Linked DNA regions of Drosophila melanogaster. The protein of the gene in region 3 interacts with the protein of the main gene of each other region in a pairwise test. Each region holds a gene or a part of one and is shown on either strand. Other genes may lie near its edges. The genes, in order: nub, BNIP3, CG16904 and CG11327.

Region 1 (8,057 bases), on a different chromosome or scaffold from region 3:
GCATTAGTTGATATTTACAAGCTCCCCATCGATTTGGGCGCATTAAATTCCCCAACTACAACATAGATACCCGTACAGACTCCGATCTTGGCAACGTAATTACAAGTCATCTACCTGATGTTTTTGACCATTTAAGCCACAAAAGAAGAAGCAGACTAAGTTGAATAGACGGAACAGTAGCCATGTTGGCGGCGGGGGCAATCGCATAGAAATAAAATAATAATCAGACAATAAACACCGACAGATACAAATTTTCATTCATACATAGGGCCTAAACACGAATAATTGCTAATGCCATTTAAATGTGCGTACAGAAAGCAACACTTTGTTAAACCAAGTCATGTTCTATTATTAAAGTCGAAAGAGTGCCCAATCCCGATCTAGATCCGAGTGCAGCGGAAATGTGGAAAGTGACGCGGCCGATTTCACTCCGTCCCATTGTTAAATATTTAACAACATTTAACCCTATAAGCGTATTACGAAACTTATTTGGTGTCAAATGGGAACAAACTGTTTTTTCCAGACGTTTTACAGTTTAAGCGGGGGAAACCTCAGTACATTAGATACTTGTGAGATATAAACATCATTATATATTATAAGGTAAAATTAAAACGAATTGATTAGAAATTCAACATGCTAGTGTACTGTACTTCCTTCAATCAAAACGTTTGAGGTAAACGAGTAAGCAACTTTAAACTTAAATATTTATATTTAACCTAATAATTTATAGATAAGTTAGAACGCGTAACTGCTTAAAATATCAGATGTAGTCAGAGCTCACTTTAATTTCAATCATGTCATAGCCGTGGATACTTTGAATCGTAAATTCATAGCAAATACTTCGGTGACACACGATCCATAGTTGTATGTAGATAATGATAAGCTGCGTGGAACAGGTCTACATATGGGTATGAATATGACCTTTACCCAAGTGTGACAATGCCTTGGCACTCATTATGGGTGGGTCTGCACCACCTCTTCTAAAATACATTTCGCGCGAATATTTATTTTTGCTTGCCTAGCTAATCAATTTCAGCAGAAGGCTTAGCAAAGTCAGAAATATGTGGATAAAATCGTACAAAAATTGACAATTAATAGAAGCGTATTTTTAACTCGTGGTCTTAAAATGCTAATAGAAGTTTAGTGGCAAGTCCATGTGTATTAGCGGAATTTACAAAATTAATTACATTTAATGCGTAGGCAAATAGAAGAGGTCCCTCATCGATTTCTGTCACCCTTCACATATCGAAGGGGGTCTGAATATTTCCCATTTATGAATAATGGGGCGCCATTCGTTATGTGCCAAAGAGAGATTTCCTGCGGCTCAAGTTGGCTTAGCTCTGCTCCACGAAAAAAAAAAAAAATGAAAATAGGCACCGAATATTCAACACTAAATTAAACAATTTGTGACTTACAAACTAAGACAAATTAACCCCATTGCAGCTCAATATTAATTAGCCACACTTTACTGATTGCCTTGTCGCCGGAGCCCCAAATTCCTAATTCTAAACAAATTATTTGTCTTTCTATCTAGACATCATCATTTCCCCCATTTGGCACCTGTTTTTTGACTCATTTCCATTTCGCGGTATCGCCGGGTTCTATCTTGATAACCGTCTGTGTTTGTTAACTAGCCAAGTCTTACTGTAATTGACTAATGAATGGCATTCATTGTTCCTGCTTTTTTAACTTGTGACAAATTTATTTATTATTACTACGGTTTTGTTCTTGTGTCACGTTGAATTCTTATTGCCTTCGATTATTGGCAGACGGGTCCTCAAGAACAGACGTCGATCGACGTGGTATCACGTGGTAATAACTGATCGACTTGTGCCAGAAGTCTCAAGTGAGGAATTGAAAAAGGTCAATAAGGGGGAAGCACAATATTTTAGCCAAGTCAAGATCTATAAAACGGGAGGTGCTTCTTGGAATTGCGATATTTGGCTTATACTGCACTTCGCTACTCGACTTATAGATAAGAATATATGGTGATGCAATCATAAAATATAAAATATAAGTTAGCTGTTTTAGTTTCTACATATGTGCAATAAATTTCGTATTTATAATGATAATAATAATGGAATAAATGTCATGACTTTTTTAGAGTTAATAAACATATACTTAAGAAGACACTTGCTAATGTGCCAAATATCAGGTACGCAGCCCTTAACTTAACGCCACTTGAGGCAAGTTGTATCGCACCGGACCTTACCTAACGCAAACCATCGAAACAAAAAAGTGAAAAACCGGTGCAAACCGATTTCCAAGATTGCGAAATGTGAAACGTGTTAAGCGAAACAAGCCCCCCAATGAACTTTGCGCGGACTAAACATCAGCCCATATTTCAAGATTCTATTGTTTACCCCCGGTGAAAGAATTACGAGTTCCAAGAATTGAATTTAATAAACTTTAATCACGAGCCTTCAACTTATTTGTTAATTTTGCAAATTATATTTTATTGTATCGCGCCAATCGAATTTCCGCACGAAGAAGATAGTAGTGGGGGAAAGGACCCTTTTAACGAATTTGGCTTATCAACCGCAAAGAAATCAATAATTCTTATCAACCATCCGCTGATTCTTTTGGTCGCCAAGTCTCAAGTGATTCATATTTAAATGATATACGGAAATGATTAGCTTGATAAGAATCTAATTCACTGATATATGACCTCATTTTACAAATTATTTAAAGCGGGTGACTATAAATCTATTTTCGGAATGGGAGTAATATGCTCCTAACGTAATGAAAAACTCAAATCCTAATCACCTTTAAAAGTAAGTAACTTTAAAGAGTAAAAAAAAAGACATTTTCAGAGCACCTGTCACCTTTGAGGATCCTGCTATCAAATCGATACCCATTCAATTGATTAGTTTTTTTGGGGCTTGGCCGAAATTTCATTGTTGAACATGAACAATTTCATTGTTGATATGCAAAGTGCTGGGGTATGAAGTGTGTGGCATGGCACTGGTTCTTGGCTCTTGACTCTATCTCAACTCTCCTCACCTCACCACCCAACCAACCTGCGAACGGAGTTGTCTTATCAGGCCAGAGCAAACAAATTGAACTCATTTCTCTTTTTAAACAACAGCTTCGACGCAATTGTCGACACGGGTCTACGCATAGATATAGATACTCCAATAAGAACCAACTCGTCTTGGTCTTCTTGGCCCGGTCGGGCTTAATCAGTTCAGTTCGGCTGGAGGAGCACCGAATATGGTAAATGGGAAAACGCAGTCGAGATAATGCTACGCCAAGAACGAGAAGGAGAAGAAAGAAGCAGGTTAAGTTTTTCCATTCCATTTTTATCTAATTAGGCTAAGCAGGCAACGCGACAAACGCTGGACAAATATTTATTATTGTACTGTAAAAATAATCAATCACTCGATCGTTACAGCAAATGGTAATGGTATCTGTACGGCTGTATCTATATACGCCACCCAGATAACGGCATTTGAATAAGAAAAAAATAAAGAACGAGTGTCCAACCAAAAGGAAATGCAGTTCCAACTTGTCCAGAGGCACTTGAACTCAAAACTGCGGCACACCACAAGTGTTATGCTAATAAAACATATCGTGCCGATCGCCTTATCAATAAGGCAACATAATATACGCTTGTGTATTGATATAGATATACACATTAAACAAATCGAACGGTGGGTTGGTACGATATTTAAAGTGTAAATCGATCGATTTTTCTCGCACTTTGTTTGCCGTATTTATTTATTTCAATTTCAATATTATTTCTCGCCTCACCGTTCACCCCCGGCGACATTGCGAAAGATACTGGAGTTACAGGTATCCCACTTCAACTTTTGTAGAGTAAACTTTGATGCAGGTTCTGTTTACCTCCGGTCTGAAACTCAAGGCGCCTTACTTAAAAATGGTTTATACAATATCCCCCCTCTTATATGGTATACATTTCCTTTACTTTCAGTAATTTTCAGTAAATTAAGTGGTGAAAAGCCCGTTTTATAGATTGTCAAACACTATTTACTGCTGCGGGGTGGGGTAAAACCCTTTAAAAACGCTAGGCAACATAAATTCAAAAATGTTTCATTTATTAAAGCTTGTTAGAGATTGCAGATTAGGATTGTGAAATTCTACACGGCTTTGATTAATTGAATGAATCATGATTAGGGTCCAGGTGGCCTGGGGAACTCTTATCAACAAAAATTTCGGATGTCACTTGTTGTAAAATTGTTCAATCTTTTAGTCAAAAAAGGTAAGTCATTTTCGTAATTAGAAAATCAGTGAAGTTATTTATTAAATGACCCATTATTATTTTCTTTTATAAATAAAACATTTATACAATTGTATTTCTTTCCTAAATTTGTTGGTTACCAAGGTATTTAAATATTTATATACCAAAAAGATGACTGTAAGCAATTCTAAAATTTTTCAAGAAGCTTCAGACCCTTGGTCTTGGTTTTCAATCATTAAAAAATTTATTTTTGTGGTAACTACAACTTTAAATTTATTTTCTGCACATGTATATTGTTATTTTATTTTCATGTATAACAACTTGTACACAAATAATCAACCTTTCTAGATATGTGTCAATAAAATTTCTATGAATTCTTTTATATTTTTCATAGCTTAATTTAATACTCATGGGATTTACCTCAATTGTTGAGTTTTTCAGACAAACATTTCAATCTTTAAATATCAAATTCATTTCGTTCAAGTGAATAAGTTATTAGTTATCACTGTACTTTATCTGCACAATATGGGGCACTCTTTAAAAACTATAAGCGTATAGTTTTTCAATAAATTATGATGTTACTATGAGCGAAATTTGCGTCTCATTCGCAGCACGTTTCGATTCGCACAAATGCCGTCGTCAAAACGCAAAAAACTGCGGCACAAAAAGAGATCGGAAAAATCGCGACGCGAGAGCGATGAGAATGGGGATTTTTATTAGAGGGGTTCATTCGGGATCGTATTGTATCGGTCGAGTAGCGCATGGGATATCGCGGAGGACAAAATGTGTTGCCAAAGTCCGGGGAGCGCGCGCACTTGAGCTACAACCACTGAACGCTGAACTCAACTGAGGCGAGCTCGCCAAAAGTATCTTAAAGATGCGCAACAGATCGGCAACTTTAACGGCAGCGGGCTGCAACAAGTTTTTTTTTGCCAAATCCATATAAACAAAAGGCAAATAAACAAACGGCAGTGCACTGAAACAATTGCAATGTGAAGTGTCTCTGTGTTCGGGTTTTGCTGTAAGTGTGCGTGACTTTAGTTGCTCGTATCTGCTGCAGGTACTTGCACACACAGATGCACACCTGCTTGCAACATTGCAATTGCAGGAGAGGGATAAAAGAGAGCGCTTAAGCTCTCTCAAAACCGCAATGAGTTATGTTTAAACATTAATTCATTTTAGTGTAAAAAAAAACAATTAAGTTTAGTTTGAGAGCTAAAATTCTCTTGTCTCTGAAAAACTCTCGCTCTTGCTCTCTCTGCGCGCTCTCCACTCACCACTACTACTGCAAAAAGCAGCGATCGCTCACTTAGGTTCCACAAAAAGCTGACCCGTTGGGGAAAAAGAGACAACTAATCGCGCTCGCTAATTTTCACACACACTCTTGCAATATTCAAATCTGGTTGCTCGCTGTCCCTCTCTCACTTGCATGCTCCCTCGCTTTATTTAAATTTATGATTATCGCCCCCTTGTGTGTGTGCCTACTTAATCCAATTGGAGGTGGAGCCGTGACTCTCCGTCCAATTGGGAGATACGTTCGCATAGACTCTCATTCCGCCTGCATATATCGCCTCGTTAACTGTCACATTGACGCAGGTGGGGGCTTTATCTTTATTTTGGGGCCCGGACTTATCCAATTGGATTTTTGTTTTGCAAACTGGTTTCGCCAACGCCTCTTATTGGCAGCGTTATTTTTAGGTTTGCTTCGGCTATTATCTAAGTACAAATTGATTAGAGGAATGCGAATTTGTAGTAAAAGCTTTTAATTGCGAGGGAATTTGAATTTATTGCGATTTATTTCCCTTTGGCTTAATTCAGTACAATACTTTTGTATTGAAATAAATAAATTTATATATGTATCTTGCCATTCATTCTTGGTTTCATCCAGATAAGAAATTATATGTAATTATATAACTAGATAATTATACATTTTCTTTGTTTTACTACGTGCTTACTTACATTTTGCTAACAATACCTTAAAAAAAAAACTACACAAAATTATTATTTTACACATGATAAAAAATAGTTCTGTTTATATGGAGTGTATTTAGTTTGTCATCATCTGGATAAACTCAACAATGTAAATTAATCGTCAAAAATTCGAAAGAAATATTTCCCAGCTAAACGGTTATCCATTGAATGGCGAAGAGCATTCAGGTTGGACCTGCCCCGCGGAGTTTCCATTGAAGGGCATTGTTTTGGAGGGCGCCGCTGCTTCACAAATCGCATACGCACGATCTGCTGACACAATTCCGCCAGCAATTAAGTTGATTCACCTCCGCGGGCTGGAGATTTTACCTGTTGCTCAATTTGCCGGCATTTAAAAAAGCTGTCAACAGCGATCGGGAATCGGGTATCGGCGCGATCGACGACCTGGGTGCATAATTCCGGCCAACTGGAGCTGATCTTGGCCAATTGTTTACCATATGCAGTCCGGCCAGGCATTCCAAACTGTCCGCTTGAGCTTATTAGCCTGTCGTTTGCATTTCTGCGGTATTTCCACTTTGTTCAAGGCGCCGGCCTCCCAAGTGAACGGGCCCCAATTTGAATGCAAATTCCACGCATTGCGCGCTTTTGGTCATTCAAATGTTGCCGCTTCAGTGTTGCCGCAAAGTTATAGATTTAATGCAGAGGCATCCGGGATACCCTATCCGTAAGGGAAGTAAAATTTTTTGAGTCACCTGAAAGTATTAAAAATATAATAAATACAAATATACGATAACTCGTAAAACTTTCTCATTTGCTTAAAGTATTTTTTATGTATTTATTTGTTTATTACCCATTTATTTCTTTTGAGTTTCTAAAAAATTCTTGTTAAAAAAAAAGTCTATCAAATCCCTGCCCCGTCTACTTTTTTACATTAGCCTGTATTCAGCGCTAAATTTCCGCATAACTTGCTATAAACTACTTGAAAATGTAATAAAATTTGAAAAATCCTAATTTATCTAATCATGAAATGCTTGCCTAATAAGCTTCTATTGCAATATGATGATATACCACCATTACAAAATGATGGGCTGTCCTTCGGCTGATGGGCTCATCATGGTTGGATTGGTTCCTGGAACTTAAGTCGATGTTTAAATTACCATTTAAATGTTACTCCAGCCGGAGGCATTTCATCACAATGTTACATTCACATTACTCAGTCAGCATAAAATTGCAAACACATATTATTGACACATCATTATCAATCAAAGTTATGCTCAGTTGAAAGTCCGCAATGCTTCCGCAAAAAGAACAGAACAGTGTTTCTACTGCTTGCGCAGATTACAGCTAAGTTTTATGACCATGATTTATGGCAGAATTCTTCCAAGGCGGCCGTTCTGGTTTGATGGTCCAGACCAGGCCCAGTGCACCATGAAGCATCCCAATCCGAATGCGAATGCGAATACGAATACGAATACGAATATGACTTCGAGAAAGACACACTACACACTCGCTGACACGCATAGTCTAGATGCGAGTTCGTATCTAGATATCTGGCAGATACACCGCCGAGCACGAGCACTCTAGCATGCTTTATGGTCTAATCCCGATGGTTAGTTTTGTTCAGCATAAACTGCTCGATTTCATGTATTCCATTTAAATGTCATAGAATGTAGCCGCAAATCAAATTCTTAGCCGCCTCATTCAGCAATTTTACATCCATATTTATTTGCAATAATTTGGCTGCTTTATGGCATTCTCTCTCATTTTTCGCTGTTCGCCAAATGCATTTATCTTGTTTAATCTGATTATAATTGGTAAAACAGCGGCATAAAATATTCCAAATGATTGTTATGCCAAAGATAATAGCGATTTTACGATTTTGATAGGAGCCTTTCCTTACATTAAATAAATCTGTAATGCTACTGGT
Region 2 (10,402 bases), on a different chromosome or scaffold from region 3:
TGAGTCGCGATTATCGCAGCAATGTATGATTTAAAAGGACCTTTTCTAAGAGATCACCTAAATACATTCCATTTTTCCTTTGCAGCCCCAGAAGCTTTTCATTCTGAAGCTTTGGAAAAAGGCGGTTGTTAGCCCAAATGGCATCACAGAGCCGTCTCCCCATGAAGATGCCATAATAGGATTCGCTGCACTTAATCTTAACCAAAAACAAGCGGGCGGAGGCTTTCCCAGCGGATGGCATAACATAGTAGACTTCAATGGACGTGTGACTGGGGGAATCGAGGCGCACGTGGAGCCCATATCGCCCAGTGTAGATACCGTAATCGATCAGTTCGAGAAGTCCATGGAACTGGGTCACTTGCAGTTGGGCCAGGCCATCAAGCGCAAATACACGGAGCTGGAGGAGATCTCGCAGAGATTGCGATCTCGGCTGGTGGATGTGACGGGGGAAACGCTGAAGTTCCCGGAATTCGATGTCGACTCCGCATTGGACAGTTGGCAACAGGAGGGAGATGACGATGATTTAGCGGAGGACTTTGAACGCTCCCTACGCACTCCCACGCCCCCTGGCTCGCCAACGCCCTCCACCAGCACCGCCGCACAAAATCTCAGAAACTCGAACGGTCAGGAATAGCCCAGGGCCAAAAGTCAGTTAAGAATGTTTTTTCCTCTCTCCACATCTCGATGTCGTCTCTGATATTGGCTCAAATGGTAGCTATAGTTAACCATCTAGATTTAGGCAATATATATATATATAATGCGCGGATCTTAATCTGATCTGATATTATGCTGTACTTAAATTGGCATCCCAGTTTTGCCTCGATTCACCGTCTTATGGCTGTCTATATAGCATAAAATCAAAGCTAGCAACGATCACCCAGCGATCGTTTCATTGAGTTACAAATCGTCGATTGAATATTGTTTTAAGTCACGAGGATTTTTCCCAGCAACCACACGGAATATGTATTAGTTTCGGAACTGTGTTAATCACCTAAGTATTTAGACACTATTACCTAATAAAACTTTAAATAAAATTACAATTGCTAAAGCAACTCAAAAACAGTTAGTTTATGCACTTTAAAGGGCGGCAGTTTAGTTCGTATCGATATTGCATTCGCTTGGCAATTGATAACAAGTCTAAATGATCAACTAACAAAATTAGTTGACTATTAGCACATTATGATGAAATTATCGCTTATACTGACTCACTGCTGATAATCTCAAAAAAATATTAATGGCGAAATGCAAATAGCGGGTTTTTCCCTTTATATACACAAAGGTAATCCAAGCCCTCACTTATGTGAAACAGTTTGATAATGCGAACAGGTACACGTCTAGCGATTTTCAAAACAACAGGCGACTTATTCAACAACAAGCACCGGGAATGCCTTTTAGACAAAAGGCATCTCAAAATACCTTGCAGCACTTCCCTGAAAATCCCTTTCATCTCACTAATCCGTCTTTCCAAGATTATAAAATTCTCAAAACTTTCTAAGCCATCTCTTGCAATTCCGTAAAACCCACCAAAGAAAAATGTTTGCAGATGCTCTTTTAAATAGATATTGAAAAATATTTTAATATAAAAAATCATTACAACTATTCTGTTTTTTTTGTGTGGGGGATAACCCTTCCCTCACATTAAAGATATAATCTTATGTGTGCCATATTGTTTTTTTTTCTCCTTTTGTATCGTTTTTCTTATATGCTTATTGTATCGAAACATTTGACGATTGTTCAACAAAAAGTACAATCAGGATACAATACGATTCAACTATAATATGTCTACAAATGTTTATGGTTGTTCTATATGATGTATGATGATGAAATTGAAATTCTTAACACGAAGTTCGGCGTACATTTGTATTGGATATAATGCACGGTTGGGTGCTAAGACATACGGCTAAAGCAAAATATATGGAGCATCTATAAATGCTTTTCTGTATCATTAGATTTGCTGCCTTGATATAATGTTAAATATATAAAATTATATAAAATATGAAAACGCTTAGTTTCAACCATTGCCCAAAGGCCTGTTTTAGTTTGCTGGCTTAGTAATTAGAAATTACATTTTTATAGGTATGTACTGAATGAGAAGGTGTCGAAAATATAGACTTCCGATAAAAATACAAATGAGTTGGAATACGGTTGGCTGTATAGATGTGTATACTTCGTTTTCTTATATGGAACGCATCGTGTTCTGTTTTCGATTGATGTGCATATTGATAGATTGAAAACGATTATATATATTTCCTCTTTCTCCTTTTTGTTTATGGCATCTTTCAGTCAATGACCACACGGGTAAGGAGTATGCCACGCTTGCTCAACCATAGCCTATAAATAAATACCATTACATGAAATGTGAATCTGGTGAAGATTGCTAGAGACCCTTACCCGAATCCAGCTCCCAGCAGCAGGGACAGGACGTTGGTCACCAGCAGCGAGTACAGAATTTCGCGGGAGAACAACGAGTTGGAGCCCAGTCGCTTCAAACGGATGGAGTAGCCTGTGTTAGTCTTCTTTTTCTCGCCCTCGTCGCCGGCATCCCGACTTGAATCCTCAATGTTCCAGCTACTGTAAATAATAATTCAATGAATGACCATTTGTGGTAAAAGGCCGCAATGCTCCAAACTTAGTTCTAGATTCTAGAAACTTAGCTAAATAAACTTTCATACCTGGGTGGCTGATTCCAGTTCTTCAGCCAATCTTCATTGCCTGCATTCTGTTTGTCTCCTCCCTGGCAAAAGCAAAAACAGAGACTGGCATTGTTAGCAAGATCACCTCGGTTCCGCCTCGATTCTCATCTCTTACCTTGGTCCAGTAGTTGATGTACACGTTTCTGAGCTCATCATCCGGACAGAGCTCCGACTGGGGACTGTTCGGTGGACTCTTGGGGCTATCACGGGGCGTATCACGACGGGAGCTGGCCAAGGAGACGACACGGCTCGACTGGTTCGACTCGCGCTGGGCCTCGCGCAGAAGTCTCAGGTACTCCTCGCCATTGTTGAATGGCAACGGAGTGATTCTGTCGGGGCTCTTGATGCCAGCCATCGCAGCTGTTGTGCTGAGTTCGATCCAAGATTCTGGAAAGTAGATCATTAGCATGATAGACTGGCGAACAAAGTGGGTGAAAGCTAAAGCCAAATGGGGTGAAATTAAATATTTAGTTGGTTGCATTTGGAGGTGGTTAAATATAGCACAGGCTCGAGGGTCGAAACCTTTTGGGGCGTGTTGAATAAACATGAGAAGTCCAAACACAGACGTGCGTTATGACGTTCTTTATTGAATTTATACAAACGAAAACGTTCTAGGTTCGTTAACAACAATTTTTAATTTAATTTTAGAAATTTTCATACAGAACATATCAATATTTTACGATGTTTAAGTTTTGAATGGTTTAACCCTATTTAACTGTTTATTTATGAAACAGTTTATTTATTTCTAAGCTGATAAACGTCAGTTTAAAGTAATCCCTTGTCTAAAATTACACTTGCTGACAAAATAAAGTAGTTTCACTTGTTTACTCAGAAAGGCGTGCAGTTTGAGAGCCACTGTGCGGCGGCAGCGGCTCTAAAAATGTGCCATCGTCACCCTTTCAGCGTTTGTCTTCGTTTTTGTTTACACGTAAAAACATTTTAACCATACATACGTTCGATTCGTTAGCCGGATCTGCAATGTATGTGCTTGTATATATCTGTTCGAGTGCTCGTGCCCCATTGATAACGCTAAAAACCCCACCACTCGCATAATTTCCGTTTCTTTTCGGCATACTGTGTATATAAAGCAGCACACATGTTTTGTTTATAGTCTATACAAGCCGATGCTTATCAATGCTCTACGGAGAAAATTTCATTTTCAAAACAAATCGAGAAAAAAGACAAACTGGCGATGCAATATGGGCACGAGAAGCGTGCAAGTTACTTGATAAGGAGTACAGTGTAGCGTTCCTAAAAACTACCTAATAATACAACCAACTGATTACATGTATACGCATATATATAATCACACATACGATCACACCCAACGCCTCTTATATCATCTATTATTCACTTTCTAATTAATTAAAATTAATTTTTTCTATAATTTTGTAATGTCACATTATAAATTTAAAATCTTCCTGGTATTGCTTTCTCTCGAGTTATCACTGTACAATCATCTAATTTAGACACTTTCGCGATGGAATCAGTTACAGAATAATTCAGATCACTCACGTGGCACACCAATCATGCTGACAATTGAATACTAAATGCATCGTCTAGACGAAAAGGATGATGCATTTATGATGGAAATGTTGCGAAAATAGAAAATGGAAATGCCCGTATGTCAGGTAGACGCAGAAGTTTTGCACAGGTAAACAATATTTGGAGCATTATCGGGAATCCGGGTTACAGGTACGAAAATGGAAACAAAAACAAAAGCAAAAGTGCACAGAAGGGTGGCAAAAACAAAAACAATGGCTTTGTGACTCACGGCACGTAGGCCTCTCTCCCTCTCTTTCGGCCAACCACCCTCCGTCTCTCTCTAACAATCACTCCCCCTCTCTCTCTCTCTTTCTACCCTACCCTCTTCGGGCTTTGTCGGGTGTGCATCTTGATGCGCAGCTGTCCAAAAGACCCTGAGTTGGGCCCATTGAACCGCCTTTATTATTGGATGGATGACTCCTCGGTATCATGATACGATTTCTTGCGTAGTATATGGCACAGTGCACAAAGAAAAAATGTTTCTCTAAGTTGGTCATTCATTTCGCACGTGTTTTAAGGTCAAGAAACAGATCAAGCCGGCGCATTACTTACACACTTATTTCATATACATATGTACATACTTAGCTTTAAAAGATTAATATCAGATTCATTCAAACGTATAGAAATACATATGAATAATATTTATATGCTATCATTGATAACGGAATTCCACATCCAAACTGTGTCAAACCTTTCAAAAGTGATGTATTTCATAACATATGGTTCGATTTGGGCTAAAACTGATTAGATTAATACTGCTTGGATGGTAGTAAATTGAAAAACAAATTTTTCGTCCGGCATTACTTTTGTGAGTGACTTTGCAGAATTGTAGTATAATTTCTGTGGTAGTCAACAACCTTTTCGACAAACAAACAAAGTGCTTTCAAGCAGTCAACCAAAAAGATTATACTTTATGTCAACAAAATATTTCAACATTTCGTGCAATTCCTAAGAAAATTTATTGAATATTGTCCATCATACGATTTTCATAAAATTAAGAGATTTTGAAAAACACATTCAAGTACGTTGATGAGTATAAATTTATATAACCTAGTTTTTCCGCGAGTGTAAACGTGGATGTTGATAAAGTGGGCAGCCGAAATACAATTGAAGCGAATATGCCAAAGGCGCAATTTCTGGAAACGACCGATAGGGAAATGCCCTCCCACAAAATGTATTTATTTACGAATTATTTTAGCAAGCCAGACGGAAGAAGAAGACCGGGTCGGGGAAATGGGGAGCGCAAAAAGTAAACCACAACTGACGTCAAGCGTGCTAAGTGCAAAGTAAAGGAACAAGACATGACATGAATGAAAGAGCGGAGGGAGAAAGAGTGCGTTGGCAGCTTCTTTGTCTTTGTTTTCATACGGAGTTTTGCGGATTCTTTGTTGTCTCTCTTTCTTTCTCGCCCCCTCTGCGGAGCAAGAACAAGTGCAAAGTAAACAAATAAAAGCAGAAAGAAATCAAAAAGCAGACAACGCAAAGCCTTGAAAAAATATGGGATGCGGATACTAACAAATTGCAAACAACTCCATAAATACATACACATGTCTAGATACTCTCGCAACAACAACAATGCGGCATAACGGGTTACCATGTTATTGTTATGATTGTAAAAAGGGGAGACGCAAAAAAACACGAATGAAAGAGCAAAGCAGACGAAAACAAACAACTTACCGCCCAGCAAATCTTCGCTCGATTTTGGTGTCGTAGACATTTTGTTTTTGTTTATCGGTATGTGTGTTCAACACGTCAACACCAAAGATAACTTGGGTTTATTGCTTATTATTAACTCGCTTTAAAGTTAAACTATTTCTATTATTCTTTCGTGAGTTTGACCAAGTTTTTTTTGGCCCTTCCGTATGTCTGCCTGTGTTTGTGTATTCGCTTTTGCTGTTTATGTATGCGTAGGAAAATGCGTTTTACTTTTCGTTTGGCGCTGTTTCTCCGCCGCTGCACTCGATTTGACTATAACTACTGGTTTCGGACTGAAGCCAACCGCTGGAGCTCCGAAATATTGCAACTTTGTTTAATGCTTCTCCCGAAGCGACTGTCTTGTAACTAAAATTAAACACGATTCGTTTCTACGCACAAGCTTAATGCGTAGTTTAAATCTTTTGTTGCTGTCCAGTGTGACCAGATGGAGAAACGGTAGCAATCCAGGTGCGTGTCTATGTTTTCCTACATCTGGCATCCCTTGTATCAAGTAAATTTATTGGTGGTTATTTTTAAAATGATAAAACTTGGTTTCTGTTGACTTTTGAAAATATATGCATATGCATATATGAATATGAAAAGTATATATACATTTACTTTTATTTTATTCTTATCTCGTTTTCAAAAACAAATCAAATGTTTCCAAATCACTTTTAGCCACATTTCGGACGAAATAAAAGTTATTGCCTTCCACTATAGTTTTTGGCGATATATACAGGTCTTTTTGCGGATCATATTGCGCTCTTCCAAGCAATTTCAGGAACTCATGACGTTCCCGCAGTCTAAATTCGCGTGAGGCCAAAAGCTCCGGGCACTGGACAATCTGGGCATGTGGAAGGCCCATATCCTGGTGAATGTAACTAAATCGCTCGACAAGATCATCCGGAGCTGCAAGGATAAGTTGTTTAATTACAAATGTCCTTAATTTTGAATGTAGATAGACTTACGAATCATCAAGAGGCGCGGCTTTCGTACCACCAGGTCACTTAGCTCCTTGGCATTGAATCCCATTTCCTCCTTAAGGGTGAACACAGACTTGCGGAGGTGTTCCATATTGTAGGTAATGGCATTGGGTTCTCTGGTGGCCAACAGTCGCAGATCATGACCACTCAATTTGAACTCCTTTTGGAAGTAACCCAATCGACGATCCACTCGCCTGGTGGAGAACATCAGCCAATAAGGATTCTGGGTGAGAATTCTTTGCCTGGCTTCGTCCGAGAATCTCTTGCTTTTTAGATAGTTCACTCTGGTCTGCAGATCGTCCAAGTCCTCCTTGAACAGCAGCGGGTTCTTGGTGAACATCCTGCCGAAGTCATCGGGTGATACGCCCTGATCCACCAGGAACGTTATGTAGGGCTTCACATTTTTCTCGAAATCCAGCTTCAGTACAAAGTCTCCCAATCCCTTTCGCCGTTCAATACTGTGCAGATCCACTCCCAAGCTGAGAAATTGCTGCAGGGTACTCGAGTTGTTCACATAGGCCGCCAAATTGAAGGAAGGCACATGGGCCTCCCGATTTCGGAAGTCCAGAGCCACTTCTTTGGAGCCTTCACATTCCGCAGGCTCGGTCTTCTTGTCATTCTGTTTGGTGGTTATACCCGGTGATGTTAACACTTCTACCTCATGGTGGACACTTTGTTGTCCTCGCAGATTTCGTATTTGTGAGGTAATTGTTGCGTTTTTAGCCGCATTTTGTGAATTCCTCAAAATGTTACGTAGAGCTGAACAAAACATGCTGGAGGCGTTGCCAGATGTCGCGAATGTGACCAGCAGTTGGCTGCCAAAGTTTCTAAATATGGCATGCTAGCTAGAAAAAGCTAAAATTATATTTTGAATATGATTTTGATATAAAAACATATTTGTTTTTAAATGGATATTCTTGAACAAAAATGCACTACTAATATCTGATTTCTTTAGTTTTTTTATGAAGATATATATAAAATTGCAAATTGTTGGTATAATTTTTAATCGGACGGTATATGTTAACGGTTACCACCACGGTCACACTAGGTATGATCTTGGATTTATTTTGGTGTGAAAATTCCGGAGCATAAAAACAGAAGAGACCCTTGTATGTGCAAAACCCCCCGAGAGGAGTGCCGGTAATTCCAAGTCAGCCACCTGTTGAACATTATTCAATCGCCGCATAATGGACAAGTTGCGCCGCGTTCTGAGTGGAGATGAGCCCACTCCGGAGGAGGAGAGCAGTATCATTACGCAGGTGAAGAAATTTTCTAATGGTACAGATCTCATTAGATCCCTTAACATATTCTGGCTGGAGGAATTATGATTATGGCGTGGCTTAGGAGCTAGCCGCTGGCAACGCCCCGCGATCACATGGCGCCCCAAGCCGTGTGACCCAACGCTTATCAAAGTATTTAGTTAATATCAATCAATTACATACGCAGATCAACGACATGTCCACTTTGAGCTGGTCCACTCGGATCAAGGGATTCGTCATCTGCTTTGCCTTGGGCATCTTACTTTCCCTACTCGGCTCGGTCGCCCTATTTCTGCACAGGGGCATTGTGGTCTTTGCGGTCTTCTACACTCTAGGAAACGTCATCTCGATGGCCAGGTGAGCGAGTTGCTGGTTCCGTTCCACTCGTACTTCACACAAGCCGGCTAATGAGTCTCTCTTCTCCGGTTTCAGTACCTGCTTTCTCATGGGTCCCTTCAAGCAGATCAAGAAAATGTTTGCGGAAACACGGCTGATCGCCACCATCATCGTGCTCGTCATGATGGTCCTGACGTTCATCGCTGCTATTGTGGTAAGGCGTCCATGCTCAAATCGAAGATATCACAATTATTTAGGGTTCGGTCGTTAACTTTTATAATCAAGTTAGTTTTATAGCGATAGCATGACGAATTTGTTTGCAGGTTTTGTAGAAAACTTTTCCTTAATGTTTAGACTTTAAAGTTATCCAATGAAATAGCGATCCAAATCTTATACATACTTCATGAACTCACAGTAAAGTTAAATGAAAGCTTTTAGCATTTTACTTTTAATATTAATAACACAGTTTCACATGCCCTAGCAATTAAATTCTGAATATTGGTTTAATTCTTATTACTTGAACAAAAAAACAGTACGATGCAATCGATGTGTGCACTTAATATGTTATTATTTTTATTTGATTGGCTTTAGTGGAAAAAGGCGGGACTCACGCTTATATTCATTATCATACAATCTCTGGCCATGACCTGGTACTCGCTGTCGTACATCCCCTACGCCCGCGATGCGGTCAAGAAGACCATGTCGGCAATTCTGGAGGTCTAGAATCAGATGCGCTTCTGTACATAGCTCGAGAAAAGCCAGATTGGTTTGTAGCTTAAGCTAAGACAATTAAATCTTTTGTATTGTATTAACCTAGCACTAGAACATAGAATGTCCTTTATATTCTCTTATTAACAAGTACAATAATTCCATTTTGTCTTTTTAATAAATATATATATATATATATATATATCTTTTATACATATATATATATATATTTACATGTTATGTATTTAATTTAATCAGTACAGTTTTCTTTAGTTTATGTACATAATTCTCTTCTCTGTTTTGGTTTTTAATTTAAAGAATGGCCCGATCCACTTTGTTTCTGCAGCTTTAAAGTTTATTTATATCAACTTCTTATTTTAGTTTCTTCTCTTTTTGCGGCGACAATTTACCTAGAAAAGTGAAATGAAAAATTGTAGATCAAAAGTAGCAGATATAAAAGTTAACAATAACTGGTTAGACTATTTTAATTTTAATATCGTAGTGCATGATGTTGGGTGCATCAATGGAATTACTCCTTGGCAATTGTGCTTTTTTGTGGCAATGCAATCCGCGGAGAATCGGAGAAGGAGAAAGAGACAGAGAAGGGGAGAAACGCAAGGAGAATTTAAATTGAGAGCAAATTGAGTTGATAAAACATTGTGGTTAACCATAAATTGAGCCAATAATAAAGAAAGTCAGCGGGCGCAAAAAAGAAAGTTAGTCGTAAGGCAGGCAACATTAAAGGGACTGAAATGATCGAAATTTGCTATGCCACAATTAAGCACAATAGTTATCCTATTTTACGGAGTTATCCAAATTATCCACCATAGACATGAACAGACGTTTTGAACAACCCTACACAATTCAAAGATAATTGTTCATATTTTAACCCATTTAATGTTGCTTGCAGTTGTTAAATGGCTATACATACCTTTCGAGGGCGATGATGAGCTGGCAGGAATAGTTTCTTTTGTTTTTGCGGGCGTCGATGAAACCTTTTTCAGCTGTCGCTGCTGAAATATTCAATTGCACAAATTAGCACATCTGCACAATTCGAGTTGTATTCAAATTAGCTCTTACCTGCCAGTAAACCGCGAGGTAGACAAATGCCACCGAGATTATTACTTGGACAGTCAGCCACAGGACAATGTTGATGGCTTGCGTGCGCTCAAACAACTCCTTG
Region 3 (6,580 bases):
TGGAGCACCGAAAGCCCTTCCATTTGAATGGCGTCATCAGGATCTACAACATATTCCAGATCCTTTACAATGGTCTAATACTCGTTTTAGTAAGTATTTGAACTGGGGCTTCTGGACATCTGCAGGTTCTGATGGGAGGATGCTACTTTTACAGGGAGTTCACTTCCTGTTTGTCCTGAAAGCCTACCAAATCAGTTGCATTGTTAGCCTGCCGATGGATCACAAATATAAGGATAGAGAGCGTTTGATTTGCACTTTGTACCTGGTGAACAAATTCGTAGACCTTGTGGAAACCATTTTCTTTGTGCTCCGCAAAAAGGACAGACAGATATCCTTCCTGCACGTCTTCCATCATTTTGCGATGGCATTTTTTGGATATCTCTACTACTGCTTCCACGGATACGGTGGCGTTGCCTTTCCACAGTGCCTGCTAAACACCGCCGTCCACGTGATTATGTACGCCTACTACTATCTATCCTCGATCAGCAAGGAGGTGCAGAGAAGTCTCTGGTGGAAGAAATACATCACAATTGCTCAGCTGGTCCAGTTCGCCATTATTCTGCTCCACTGTACCATCACGCTGGCACAGCCCAACTGCGCGGTCAACAGACCCTTGACCTACGGATGCGGATCGCTTTCAGCGTTTTTTGCAGTGATATTTAGCCAATTTTATTACCACAACTACATAAAGCCAGGAAAGAAGTCAGCGAAACAAAACAAAAATTAACTAAATTTAAACTAAATCATGAGTACAAAGCCTAAAGATTCGTGAAGCAACAATAGCCACAGCCTATTTTTGAATATTTCATATATGATTTTATGGGGTAAATGAATTAAAAAACATTTGTTTTCTTGGCGTCAAACTATTTTTGAAGGCAGTCTCACCAGTGTCATGCAAAGGGTAGTTATAAAAATAGCTAAAAATCGAATGCATAAAGGGGAAACGCAGGCATGCGACTGCTAAGGGAAGTGCATGCACAATGCACGTTTAATGTCATTTAAAACGGCAATTACTCAGCACGCTCGGTGGCTCGGCCAGTTGGAGGCCCCATTCCAGGGGCCAAGGAAGGACGAAGGACGAAGGACTAAGGACGAAGGACCCGAAAAGCTAGTGCCCAACCAGGAACCACTGCACTTGACTGCGGCTTCGCTTTAATGTTGCCGCATGGCCGCAATTATTCAGCTGGCACTTTGACTCTGATTCGCCGCATGCGATTCCTATGCAAATTCGGCCGGCCACGGGTGACCCTTCCGGTGCCATAAATCGCCGGTGCTGGGCCAGGCTCGTTCCTAATATTCTAATTAAATGCAGCATGGAATGTCCAGAGACGTGCTCGGTCCAAGTTCTGCGGAGCATGCAGATCACGTGCCAAGGGGAATCCCCTCGATTCGACGATGGAAACCACGAGTAGTCGAGATGTGGCCGATGGGATTTATTCCGGACGGAGTCTAACTCCTTGACCTTTTCGACTGCATTTGAATTAACTGTCGATGCATTTGAATTCATCTATTATTCAAACGGCGCATATGCAAATTGTCGAGTACACTCAGAGAAACCAATGATGTATCACTTTATAATTCAAATTTAATTTAAGAAGCCAATGTATTGTAAAAGTAATAATAAAATATTTGTTGATTACAAATACATTCTTATTAAATAATACAAAAAAAAAACAGGATCAAAGGTGGGAATTTTATAACAAAAATTGTATGAAAGTTGGAAAGACACTCTTCATTCCTATGCACCCCAATAGTTATGTACATACGAATTACCAGTTTTTGATCACAGTGTAGCAGGTGCATTCAGTTGACCTTGCCCTTGGACTTGACCTCTTTCGGCCGAATGTAGGTCTTTATGTAGAACTTGGTGAACATCAGAAACATGAAGGCGCTGGCCGAACTTATGACATAGATGACACCCCGCGACGCCGAGCAGTTTGGCTGGAAATAGGTGTACATGCAGTGCAGGAACATCAGGAGGAACTGCACCAGCTGGCCCAGGGTAAGGTACTTCTTCCACCAGAGGCTCTCCTGCACATTCTGGCTCTGCGACGAGGCGTAGTAGTAGCCGTACATGACGATGTGCACCAGAACATTGAACATGCAGATCAGGAAGACATGGCCACCAAAACCGTAGAATCGGATCAGCATGTGCGAGGTGAAGACCATGAAGACGTGATGGAACACATGGAGGAACGTGATCTGGCGCTGCTTCTTGCGCAGCACAAAGAATATGGTGTCCATCAGGTCGAGCACCTTGTTCAGATGGTACATGTACGACAGTGTCCTTTCCGTGGACTTTAGCTCATGATCCTGCGGCAGGACTTGCATGCAGCTCAGGTTGTACGGCTTCTGCACGAATAACAGATGGATGCCCTGGGTAATATGGAGCAATCCATTGAAAACGATTAAAAAACTGTGTATATCGATATCCTTCGACTTACGTACCCACACAAAAATCACCGAATTGAACAGGACTTGTCCGATGTTGTAGAACTTGAGCACACCTCGCAGCTGGAGTGCCTCATGCTTGTCCATCAGCTTCCTGCCCAGCTTGAGCACAAACAATAGATACACCGTGATGATGATCACCGAGGTGCGGATACTGCCCGCCAGCGGCAGCTGGACAGGATCGGCGAAGGGCTTATCGAACACCTCGAACATTTTCGCGCACGACTTAACGAGTGACTTGACTTTTACCTTCTGTGATTTCTTTCTTTCACGATAGCCACTATACTATTACCTATTTGCTAATTACATTAGTGCAAATTTCCGGTATGTTTAACCCACTATCAACCTTCAACTTGAATACTTAAAGCTTTGCAAATCGAACTAAATACAATATAAGTAACAGTTCAACTACGTTTTTATTTTCAACATTTTATTAATCAGCAGTGCCATTATTTACAAAATTACTCCTTTTGACATTATTGTCAATACAACAAAAAAAGTGTTCTACATTTATAAAATACTGGCGAGACCCAATTAAAGGGGTATTTTGCATATTTAATAGCATTAAGCAGTCGAGTGGATAGAGAGTTCTAGAAACCAACAAATATCTCCCATTGCTTTATGTAAAATATATATCTATGTATAATATACGATATATACAATGATATAAAACAAATGAATTTGTTGTATCAAAAGCATTTATTAATGACATTGATTAATGTAAGGAACAGTGATATTAAATCTTAATTAGTTTTGCTCATCGGCCCACCGCCGATTTCGTTTTCTTGGGAAGAATGTAGGTGCGAACGTAGAAGTTACTAAATAGAATTATAAATACTACAGATATCAGTGAGCCCCAAGTTGCCGATAATCGTGATGTTTGACAATCAGTTTGCCGGAGGATATAGACGCTGTGCGAGAATATAATAACAAATTGGACAAGCTGAACGACTGTGATGTATTTCTTCCACCAGAGATCGCCACCCGAGTTCCGATTGAGGGACGACTGGTAGTAGTAGGTGTACATCATGGTGTGCACCACCACGTTGAAGGTGATCAAGAAGAATCCATGGCCGCCGTATCCATAATAATACATGTACAAGAAGCCTATGTACACCATGTATACGTGGTGGAAAACGTGCAGGAACGATATCTGGCGATACTTCTTTCTGAATATAAAGAACACAGTCTCCAGCAGATCCATGAGCTTGTTGAAGAAGTAGGAGTAACTGAGCCAACGCTCCCAGTTCTTGTACTCATGATCCAACGGCAGATTGGATATGCAACTGAAGTTATAGTTGCCAGGACCAAGCATGAAGTGCACACTCTTTAAATTTGGAGATACATATAATGAATATTAATATATTTTTGTTAAAAAAAAGAGCATTACTTACAAATATTAACAAAATGACATTGTATGCGATTTGCACGATGTTGTAGATCTTGATAGCTCTATCCAGATTGTAGGGCTTTTGATTCTGCATAAACCAAGGACCCACTATTTTTATGAAGACTAGATAGATTCCAAGGATGGTCAACACCGGCCAGTGGCTGCTGGTCAACGGAAGACGCACAGGATCCGGTGGCGATCGATTCAGGAAGTCCAGCATATGGGCAAACATGTCGGATATCTAAGTGTTATCGACGTCGGTGGAATAGCGACTGATGTGGACTCCGGCCGAGAACCGAGAAATGGTAATCTGCTCGTTTTCGAGGCTGATTTAAGTGTGTGTTTCTATTATACAAATACCTACATACGTAAGTAAAACCTATTACGCCGACCATATAAGAGGGTATTGCGGTCACAAAGTAAGGAAAATAGGTTTCCATCGCTTGGAATGCCGGATATGTTGAACATCCACTGTCCCCTGGTTACGAAAGGTAAAATAATGGCATTCGTATTTAGTTTTTAATGTAGTCCAGTTTTAAATGCAGTCCAGTTTTTAATGCCTTTTGACGTAATAACTTTAACGTATTCTAAGATCAATCGATTTTATATAATTCTAACCGTGTCACTTCTAATGAAGTTTACTTACACTTTGTTTGATATTGATATTTTCGTAGTAATAGCATACAATTTCGGGCAAAGTCTTGTGTTATTCCACCTTTTCCATCATAATATTCATCCGAATATCAGTCATTACTAGTAAACAGATATACAATTCAAATACATCTTTATGTTTTTTATTAGCTCTAAAATTAAAATAGGTTTCTCTATAGAGATCTAAATGCTGCACAGAACAAATCTGATGACTGGCTCTAGCTTAGATGTTTTTCTGTTTCCTTTTCTTGGGTCGAATATAGGCATGAAAATAGAAGTTGCTAAATAAGATGATGAACACAACGGAGATGCTGCCGGCACAGGTCGCCGAGAACCGGGCTGATGGACAGTCCGGTTGCTTTAGGGTGTAGATACTATGCCCCAGAACGATTCCAAACTGGATGAGCTGAACGATAGTGATGTACTTCTTCCACCACAGATCGCCCTTCGAATCGCGATTGAGCGACGACTGATAGTAGTAGCTGTACATCATGATGTGCACGACGACGTTGAAGAAGCACATAAAGAACCCATGACCACCGTATCCGTAGTAGTACAGATACATAAAGCTGAAGTACAGCATGTACATGTGATGGAAGACGTGCAGAAAGGATATCTGGCGATCCTTCTTTCGCAGCACAAAGAAGACCGTCTCCAGCAGATCGAGCAGCTTATTGAAGAAGTACGAGTACGTAAGCCAGCGCTCCCAGGTCTTGTACTCATGATCCGGCGGCAGGTTCTTGATGCACTTAAAGTTATAGTCTCCGGGTCCCAGCATGAAGTGGACAGCCTGTAAAGTGGAATTTCTATATTAAACAATCCGTGATGGTTGATATTTTTGGGGGGAAACTCACAAAAAAGCACATGATGACATTGTACACGATCTGCATGATGTTGTACGCCTTTATCAGACCGCGAAGGTCAAAGGGCTTTCGATTCCGCATGATCTTTGGACCCGCTATCTTTACGAAGAACAGGTAGGTGGCCAATACCATCAGGACGGGCTTGTGGCTGGCCAGGAGTGGCAGGCGCACAGGATCGGGTGGGGATTTGCCCAAAAAGTCCACTAGATCACCCAACATTGCGATTGTGTGTGCTTACCGTGGATCGATGGAAATGCGACTAATTTTATTGTGGTTTATAAGCTTCGATAAACACGCTTAATTGGTATGGTAATTTAGGCGTGAGTACGGCAAGTAGGGTTTACCAATACTCGAAGCATGCGACAAATGCATGATTTGTATTTAATTTGAAGAGCCTGAGGAGGCAGACAGTGAAAGTAACCATGAAAATTGATTCCCCTTGGCTTTAAATCAATACCAATAATGCAAAACTTTCCACGTACCTTCGCAACTTTAAACATGATTATGAAAATTCCATTAAAAGTTTAATGGGCTCCCGGGAAATGTTCGAAAATCACGCACATGCGAAACGAAAGCGGTACAAAAAGATGGGCGGCCATTTTCGTATCGCATCGGGTTACGCAGTGGGCGTGGCCAAACTGCAACTGCAGCAACTTCCATGCAAAGCGGATGCGAAAATGGTACATAAACAAATACCGCCACATCACGCACATCCAGTGCAACAAAAGTGGCAACAGCCATAACAAATTTAGAACTAAATACGGGTCGCGGCATCTAGTGCACTTATTTAAATGCAATAGTGGGTTTTAATACAATGTACATACATATATGTGTCGAAATCAACTTTAAAAGAGTCTACCAATTTCGTTTTGTGCTTTTTATTAAGCGCTTCAATAGATGGCAATGAGCATATGTCGAAACTAGTTTAATTAGATACCAGTCGCTGCCTTATAAAACTGAAAAATCAGGCCAAGTACATATCACTCGTTGTCGGCTGTCTCACTAATGGCCACATACTTCCGATTCTTAATTATCACAGTTTGCATGAGTAAAGGTGTGATAGTCGGCATACGATGCACCTTAGGTGGATCAATTGCACGTGGATTGTAGCTTTTGAGAGGGCGCATTTTCTTTTCCTTCTTCTCAGTTTCCACACATTGATCAACTGCTTTCTTTGCTATCCTTTCGCTTTTATCCTGGCACGTGATCCTTTTCATTTTCGGCT
Region 4 (7,302 bases), on a different chromosome or scaffold from region 3:
AATTGGGGGCAGGATAATATTGAAAAATACCTCCGGATCGAACGTTGCCTTAAGATCGATTTCGTTCTCATCCACATCGTGTACCTGTCCTCGAAACACGTAGGCATACGTCTTGATTCCCTCTGGCGGCTTTGTGCCATTTGTTTGATTAACGGGGTACTAAAATTAAAACCAAATTGTAATATATTTACATATATTCGTTCTGGCCATTAATGATTTACCCTAAACCAAAGAGTATCAGGCGGCAATTTATCGCTGTACGTTGGAACTCCCTGAGGCTCCACCTGCATGTGGACCAGGGTGGCGGAGGTGCCGGCATATCGTATAATTGCACCCACAATCAAGCCTGAAATGGGGTAAACACATTAGTTTTGGCTATTGCTGCAGTTGGGATCGAAAATAAGTTGAATTGTAATGTAATTTTACCGGGTCTTAAATGAAATAAAGCTAGTATGACTGTTTTCTGGACTGACCTATCGCAAAGCAAGGGTGTGACTAATAGCCGCTTAGAAAAATGCTTAGTCAAGCCATATCAAGCCTTATCAACTAAGCAACCACTCAACAGGTTCATAATTCGCAGACGGAATCAGTGTTTTATGTTCACGCCGATAAACAAATTTGTGGGGATGATTAATCGTGGTGCGCATAACAAAATGCTTTCACTGGCCCTGCCGGACGAATGCTAAATAATCTTTTCCAGTTTACACCAGAGCTGGGCTTTGTCGACGCCCAGGCCAACCAGTTTTATTGAATTGTTTCATTAGCTTCAATTAGTCGAACGAAATCTTGTTTGCTCTTTTATTGCTGCACATAAACGAAATTGTTAGAATAACAAAGTACTCGGCAGATTGCCGCGATCATGAACGAGCAGTGAAAATACATTCGGTCGGAAAACCCCAATGATATTGACTGACTAAGCAAGTCAAGGTCTCGTATACAATATCTTTGCCGCAATGCATTAGCTCTGCTGTCGTTGCGTGCAGGTTCTTTCACGGATATTGATGTTACTTCTACCCCGGGGTGGCTTTTACTGCCTCCCATATGTGCGCACGTAATGTCACGGTTGGCGTGGACAAAGGCGTAATTCGAAATTGGTGACAACAAAGAGGTAGCAATGAATGTGGCAGGTGACCGATAATCAAGTCTTTCGAGCTAAGGGAAACATGGCCAAAAGGGAAAGCTGCCCGCGTTACCAACGTACCGTAGATGACGGCCAATCCCGTCTCGTGGAGCCAGGAGACGCGATGGTGTTTGAAAAGCCAAATTGTGAGCACTGTGAGCGCCAGCAGGAACACGAAGACTAGAAGGTCCAGGCTCTGGATGCGGTGATTGAGCGTGGCCTTGGCGTCCAGAGCGATGTCAGTGTCCGTGGCGCTGCATCCAGGCGCGAGGACGCACAATGCAAATCCGACTATGAGCAGCATGCTGCTCCGCCAGCACTGTAGCTTCCAGAATGTCTGCGACCTTGGGTGACTTCCTGCGTCCCCATGAATACGGTGGGGCGATGTCATCTCTACCTCGGGGTCCACATCGCCGTGGGACATACTTTCTTCAGTTTCTTCCTGCGCCTGCAGCCGAAATCGATTTTCGCGTTATGTTTCACGGGTTGGGGGGGTGGTGGTGGAGGTGATGGTGCTAGAAGCGCGGAGCAGGACGACCACGCTCAGGCGGCGCCAGGGGAGTGTGTGGACCTCCTTTCGCTTGGATATTGAATGTGCCGCACAGCCGTTACATAAAATTAAAGGGTCCAAAAAGAGCTTTCAAAATTTCACAGCAGCGCACTCCGCTAAAAAAACAGTTTGTTCGTTCATATGGAAACAACCGTATGCGACTGCAGTGTGACCGCACGCTAGCACGCGAAAAAATATTGCCTTTGAACAGGAGCGGTTCAGTAAAGATATTTGTATTCAATATAATAGTTATGTAAAACTAAAACTTGCAATAATCCCAAACTATTTTCCAAGTAAAAACTATTATTCCGGGAATTGCGTCAAATTAGCCTTTTCATTTATTAATTTTCTTTCCCGTCGTCTAGTACTAGTCCCGCCGACCAGTCTCTCCGTGTCCCACCGACATAGTTAGATCTGTAAGTTCGTATCATTGCTATTTTTCACGATTCCTCTATACATTCAAAAAAAAAAAAATAAATAAAAAATTCCCCATGTTTAGAATTCCGCCGTTCCTCCATCGGTAATTATTCCGGGAAAACAGTAAACGGGCAGGTGCAGTTTCCGGTTATCGATAACCGTTACCCTGCCCTAGCCAACAAGAGTATGACCTGACAAAGGCGCCACCTAGCGCTCGTTTCAAAAAGAATGTTAAGTAATTGGCGCTTTAATTCAAATATACATACAAATTATACAAATTACAAACAGTGCGGCCGTGATATTGTGGATATTTATTTGGAAAATAGATATTTAAAGCAACCCAACTATGCCAATGCGTCGGGCGATTTTGAAGTGTTTCCTAAGATATACCGTAGTGAAACGTATGCTCTCGCAAGTTCGCATTATCCAATTTGCATTTCTAGAATAGTGAACTTCTACTCCTTGCGAATTATATAGACCAAACTGAAAGCCAAGCTGCAGAACAATATGGGATAGCTAAGCTTAAGGATTCTGTGGTTGACTAGACGCCTCAAGAAACTCAAGGGCTTGCCAGTTTGTTTTAGGTCCGGATCCGTTTCCTCCTCCATATCGATTTCCGCCTCCGGGCCCGTCAGCGTCTCCCTTTCTTCCGCTTGCTCACTTTCTATCAAGTCTGGAGCTGTTTCAACTTCGCTATTCTCTTCTATTCTGGCCTGCAAAAGTTGGCGCATTAGGTGCACATTGTACTCCGGATCAAATAGTTCATCCAAAGTAACCATCTCGCGACCGTTTTGCACCGACCCATCTAGTGAGGGATGGTCGGCCAGTTCCGGGACCGAGTCAATGCACACAATCTCATCCGCCGTTGGATGAAACATGGGCTCCAATGTTTCAGGGTATTTCTCGAATTGTTCACGAACAAGCCTGTCCTCTTCGGACTCGCTACTTTCATTAATTAACGTTTCGAGTTCCTCCATATCCGATTCGGGTACAGATTTCTCGGATTCTACGTCTGTAGGATCTTGCGGGGTCTCTTGGACGATCTCTGTGTGTTCATCTATTGGCTCTTCGCCCAAATGCTGGACAATTTCGAATTCCTTTAAAGATTCTATTTCCACGGCAGTTTCCTTTATTTCTGGAAATTCCCCTTTCGGTGCAATTTCTTTTTCCACCATCTGTACATTTCCTGGTATAAGTTCTTCGGGTTGTGTTTCAGGAAGTGTTTCCTGCTGAATATCGTTTCCTGTCAGCTGTTCCATATCTAGTCCGGAAGACTCGGCACCATTCTCCACATCAGAGGCTTCATTTTGCAACTGTGTATCCACATCAGTGGCGTCATATTGCACCTGTGTATCCTGGTCAATATCATCGGGCAGTAGATTTTGCATATCTAAATTATTAAAAGCCACATCAGCCTCCATTTCGGCGACGACGCGTTGAAGTTCCTTGAGAGTCTGCTCCTCTGCCAGTCGGAGCTCCAACTCGCTGCTAGTGTCCGGAATCCTGTCGAGCATCGGCTGCAGCATTGGACTCGGTCTGGCCGACAGCGTAGTCTGCTGCTCGTCCGTGGAGCAATCCAAATTGATGCCAGAATCGTCGGCCATCTGTTGACTTTCCATGGAGGAGCGTCGCTTTCTCTCGGGCATCAGTGAACTGTAGATCCGGCTGCTGGCACTGGGTCCCAAGAAAAGTGGAGCCGGAATTTTAGTGGGCCTAACTCCCGAACTGCGAGGCCGCAGCTCACTCTCCGACGAAGATGGGACAACCGCGTCCACATCGTTTTCCATTGATTGACATTCTTCGGAGTTTTTCACATTCTTGTTGTTCTCAGTCCGCTTCAGCTCTTCCTGGGATGGAGTTGCTTGCACATTGCGGCTGGCCATCGTGGCTATTTGGACGCATAAATGAATGAGGTCAGCACAATTTGGTAGAGCACTGTGCTCCAACTTACCCTTTATAAATTTACGCAAGACTGACTGAATTTAACCTGGTTAACTAGTTCGACATCCGTGAAATATTATATCAATGTTTTCAACATGGGTTTTCCCTTATTTCGGTGATCAAAACGTTCCCTAGCGAAAGTGTGTTCGCCTAACTGTGGCAATTGAACTAAATGGATTGACAGGCAATGTCTCCTGATTTCACGTGCAGCCAGGCCAACTTGATTCAGTTCATTTTTGTGTTGGAAAACGCGGCTCCAATGGCCAACTGGATTGGCAACTCATTTATTAACTTAGTGGTAGCATTAATACATAATTTGGTTAGAATTGATGGCAGAAAAGACGTTAATGGCTCTGAGGATTGCGATTCCCCTCAGTCCTGCAACTCCACCTTCGTCTTGAGATAGTCGGACAGATCATTGTAGATCAGCGGCTTCACACGATCTGTTTTGAAAAGCATAGAAAAAAGTTTAGTTCAGTTGAAGTTACCACTTTGTTTCGATTTCCCTTACTATTGCACTTGTACTGCAGGTTGGACCATATAATCATCCTCTGTGAGAAGCAGAACACGCCCAGCCGACCGCCCTTCAGCGTGGAGTCAAACACATTGCCCGAGTCGAAGATCAGGCGGTTACCCTCGTGCATTCTGTGGGTAGAAGGAGAATGAAGACATGGGAACCCTGTCATGGTGCCATCACTCACTGCAGGCGGATGAGGCCGATGGCCGGTCGATGCACCAGGGACCAGCGGTAGGAGGTCCTTTCCTTCCACGCAATGTTCTTCGGATCCTTCCACAGCAGCCTGGCCTCACCGTCGGTGTTTCCCTCGTGCCACAGGCTGTTCCTCATCATTGGGCCCGGACCCTCGGTGCTGTTGACCAGCTTGATCTGGATGCCCGGCGCCGCAGAGGCGGTGAAGGGTCGTGGCTCCCAGTAGGTTTGGGTGCCCTTCTTCCACTGCACCACGTAGTACTTGTAGCTGCTCTGGTAGCTGAACACAAAGCCAGCGTAGTCATCGTCCGTGTCATCGTTGATATAAAAGGTGCCGTCGAAGTCAACGCCTCCGAAGGCGTCCTTGCCCACCGCTAGTCCCGGATCCGAATTGAGGGTCTGGACTATCTCGGTGCCATTGGCGTGTACCACCCAGTTGGGATCCGCTTGCGATAGGCCTTTGGGATCCAGTGGAATGGTTTGAAGAGTGCGAAAGTCAGTGTGATGAATCATCGAGTTGTTCGGGCAGTTGTCCATGCCATTCGGTACACCATCTACGTCCTCATCATCTTCGCAAGAGTCACCCTTGCCATTCCGATTGAAGTCGTCCTGCTTTGGGTTCTTGGCCAGCGGACAGTTGTCCTTGTAGTTGGGTATCCCATCTCCGTCCATGTCGTCATCGCACTCATCGCCCGTTCCATCACCGTCAGTGTCCAGCTGGTCCGAGTTACTGACCATTGGGCAGTTGTCCAGCGAGTTTGGAACTCCATCATCATCCCCGTCGATGTCTCTGTGACAGGCATCGCCTACAAAGTCCATGTCGCGATCCTTTTGGTCGGGATTCGGAAGATTCGGACAGTTATCGCAAGCGTCGCCCACACCATCGTTGTCCACGTCCGACTGACTGGGATTCGGCAGCAGCGGACAGTTGTCTAGCGCATTTGGTATGGAGTCGTTGTCGATATCACCATCGCACTCGTCTCCCAGTCCATCCTCGTCCGTGTCCAACTGCCTGGGATTGTACTTAAGCACGCAGTTGTCGCACACATCGCCCACCTTGTCTCCATCCGAGTCCAGCTGCTCGGTGTTGTAGGCCAGCCAGCAGTTGTCTTGGCTGTTCTGGACATTGTCGCCATCGGCATCGTCGTCGCACCCATCGCCATGTCCATCCAGATCGGCGTCCTCCTGGCCTGAATTAGGCAACTTCGGGCAGTTGTCTCGCTGACAGCGCAGCTCTGGACAACCGATTGCCTGATCTGGCCATCCATCTACGTCGGTATCCCTACCGCAAATCAAACCGTTGCCCGCCCATCCCACATTGCAGTGACACTTGTGGCGGATGTTATCCATCCTAAGGCACACGGCATTGCGGTCACAAACGGTTCCATCCGGACACATGAACACCGAGGATCTGTCTAGGCAGCTGTAGGTGCCATTTGTTACATATCCTTCGTGGCATTGGCATCTGTAGGAACCCTGCGAAAGAAATCTATTACTTTTAAACTATTTTTTTTTAAATTTGTATCGTACTCACAATCTCGTTGATGCAAGTAGAATGCTCCGGGCATCGGAAGAACCCAGTGCGGCACTCATCGACGTCCAGGCACGTTTGCCTGCGATAATCCACGGAGTAGTAGTCGGCGAAGTAGCCATGGGCGTGGGTGCCATCGAAGCCAACGGGACACGGGCTGCACTGGAAGCCAGGACTAAGATTGGTGCACGTCGCCAGCTCGTCGCAAGGATCGTAGAGCAGGCACTCATTCATATCCCGGCAGCTGGTTCCGTTCACCTCGTGGCCCATTGGACACGAGATGCAGTGAAAGTAGGGCGGATAGCCAACCTGGAGGCACTGGGCGCCTTCGTTAAGTTAAAAAGTAATTGCAAAAACGAATTAAGATGATTGCAATGCAATAAAACGAATGGAAACAGGTGAGTTATTCACGAAGCTGCCAACATGTTCACTCACATATGTATGAGTATCTTTATGAGCCATTTTCTTCAAAGAAAACTTTTTCTGTTTAAAAAACGGTTTGAAAAATGACAATTTCGATGTAAGTTTGACAAAAACACTATATGTATATAAGCTTTTGTGCTACTTCGCTTTCTACTTCTATATTGTTTTCCGATTCTTTGCCGATTCATGGACACTGGGTAAAATGATATAGCTTTTCTTTGAAATAAGTTATATCTATTCAGCTGATTCTTTATAATTATCTATAAGATATTTCGAGTTCAACTTCCACTCACCGTTGATATATCTGAATGTATGACCAGAAAATGATAGTGTATAAACATGATGCGATAGAAAGGCATGTGGGTTTGGTTTGGATGATTTCGATGGGTAAATAAATAAAAATTTGTGTGGCCAATGATGGAGTTTATTTATTAAATACCAAAAATTACAGCGTACATTTTGTTATAATAATATTCATAGTTTATTACAATAATTGGGAGATTTCAGGCGGGGCAAGCAAATTTTGTTACACGTTTATAGACTCCACTTTCTGGGCATTTGATTGGGACGTACATATACATATTTAGTTATCTATTCTACAAGAGCTTTTC

Evidence for each region.
Region 1: the proteins of CG16904 (region 3) and nub interact in a two-hybrid assay, tested with the Drosophila melanogaster proteins (one large-scale study listed by BioGRID).
Region 2: the proteins of CG16904 (region 3) and BNIP3 interact in a two-hybrid assay, tested with the Drosophila melanogaster proteins (one large-scale study listed by BioGRID).
Region 4: the proteins of CG16904 (region 3) and CG11327 interact in a two-hybrid assay, tested with the Drosophila melanogaster proteins (one large-scale study listed by BioGRID).

The regions. Positions count from the first base shown.
Region 1 is NT_033779.5:12,584,617-12,592,673, reverse strand, and holds the start of nub (nubbin), read right to left. Parts: upstream 5,050-8,057; 5' UTR 4,622-5,049; intron 1-4,621. UniProt on the Drosophila melanogaster protein: DNA-binding regulatory protein implicated in early development. Involved in neuronal cell fate decision. Repressed directly or indirectly by the BX-C homeotic proteins.
Region 2 is NT_037436.4:20,513,053-20,523,454, forward strand, and holds BNIP3 (BNIP3), read right to left. Parts: upstream 6,342-10,402; 5' UTR 5,956-6,341; coding exon 5,916-5,955; intron 4,253-5,915; exon of another isoform or gene 4,225-4,252; coding exon of another isoform or gene 4,209-4,224; exon of another isoform or gene 3,647-4,208; intron 3,081-3,646; coding exon 2,809-3,080; intron 2,735-2,808; coding exon 2,673-2,734; intron 2,572-2,672; coding exon 2,392-2,571; intron 2,332-2,391; coding exon 2,280-2,331; 3' UTR 1,547-2,279; downstream 1-1,546. Other genes in the region: CG32425 (uncharacterized protein), read left to right, coding at 1-23, 86-634; mTerf3 (mitochondrial transcription termination factor 3), read right to left, coding at 6,565-6,842, 6,902-7,688; CG5104 (uncharacterized protein), read left to right, coding at 8,104-8,175, 8,363-8,532, 8,608-8,725, 9,103-9,234; Pss (phosphatidylserine synthase), read right to left, coding at 9,592-9,629, 10,151-10,232, 10,300-10,402.
Region 3 is NT_033777.3:9,814,294-9,820,873, forward strand, and holds CG16904 (uncharacterized protein), read right to left. Parts: upstream 2,687-6,580; 5' UTR 2,665-2,686; coding exon 2,449-2,664; intron 2,377-2,448; coding exon 1,804-2,376; 3' UTR 1,635-1,803; downstream 1-1,634. Other genes in the region: eloF (elongase F), read left to right, coding at 1-89, 155-727; CG9459 (uncharacterized protein), read right to left, coding at 3,209-3,778, 3,846-4,073; CG9458 (uncharacterized protein), read right to left, coding at 4,716-5,282, 5,347-5,574; CG42857 (uncharacterized protein), read right to left, coding at 6,336-6,580.
Region 4 is NT_033779.5:6,682,525-6,689,826, forward strand, and holds CG11327 (uncharacterized protein), read right to left. Parts: upstream 4,189-7,302; 5' UTR 4,039-4,188; intron 3,976-4,038; 5' UTR 3,971-3,975; coding exon 2,543-3,970; 3' UTR 2,318-2,542; downstream 1-2,317. Other genes in the region: Nhe3 (Na[+]/H[+] hydrogen exchanger 3), read right to left, coding at 1-159, 222-346, 1,202-1,424; Tsp (thrombospondin), read right to left, coding at 4,401-4,471, 4,540-4,673, 4,730-6,213, 6,272-6,594.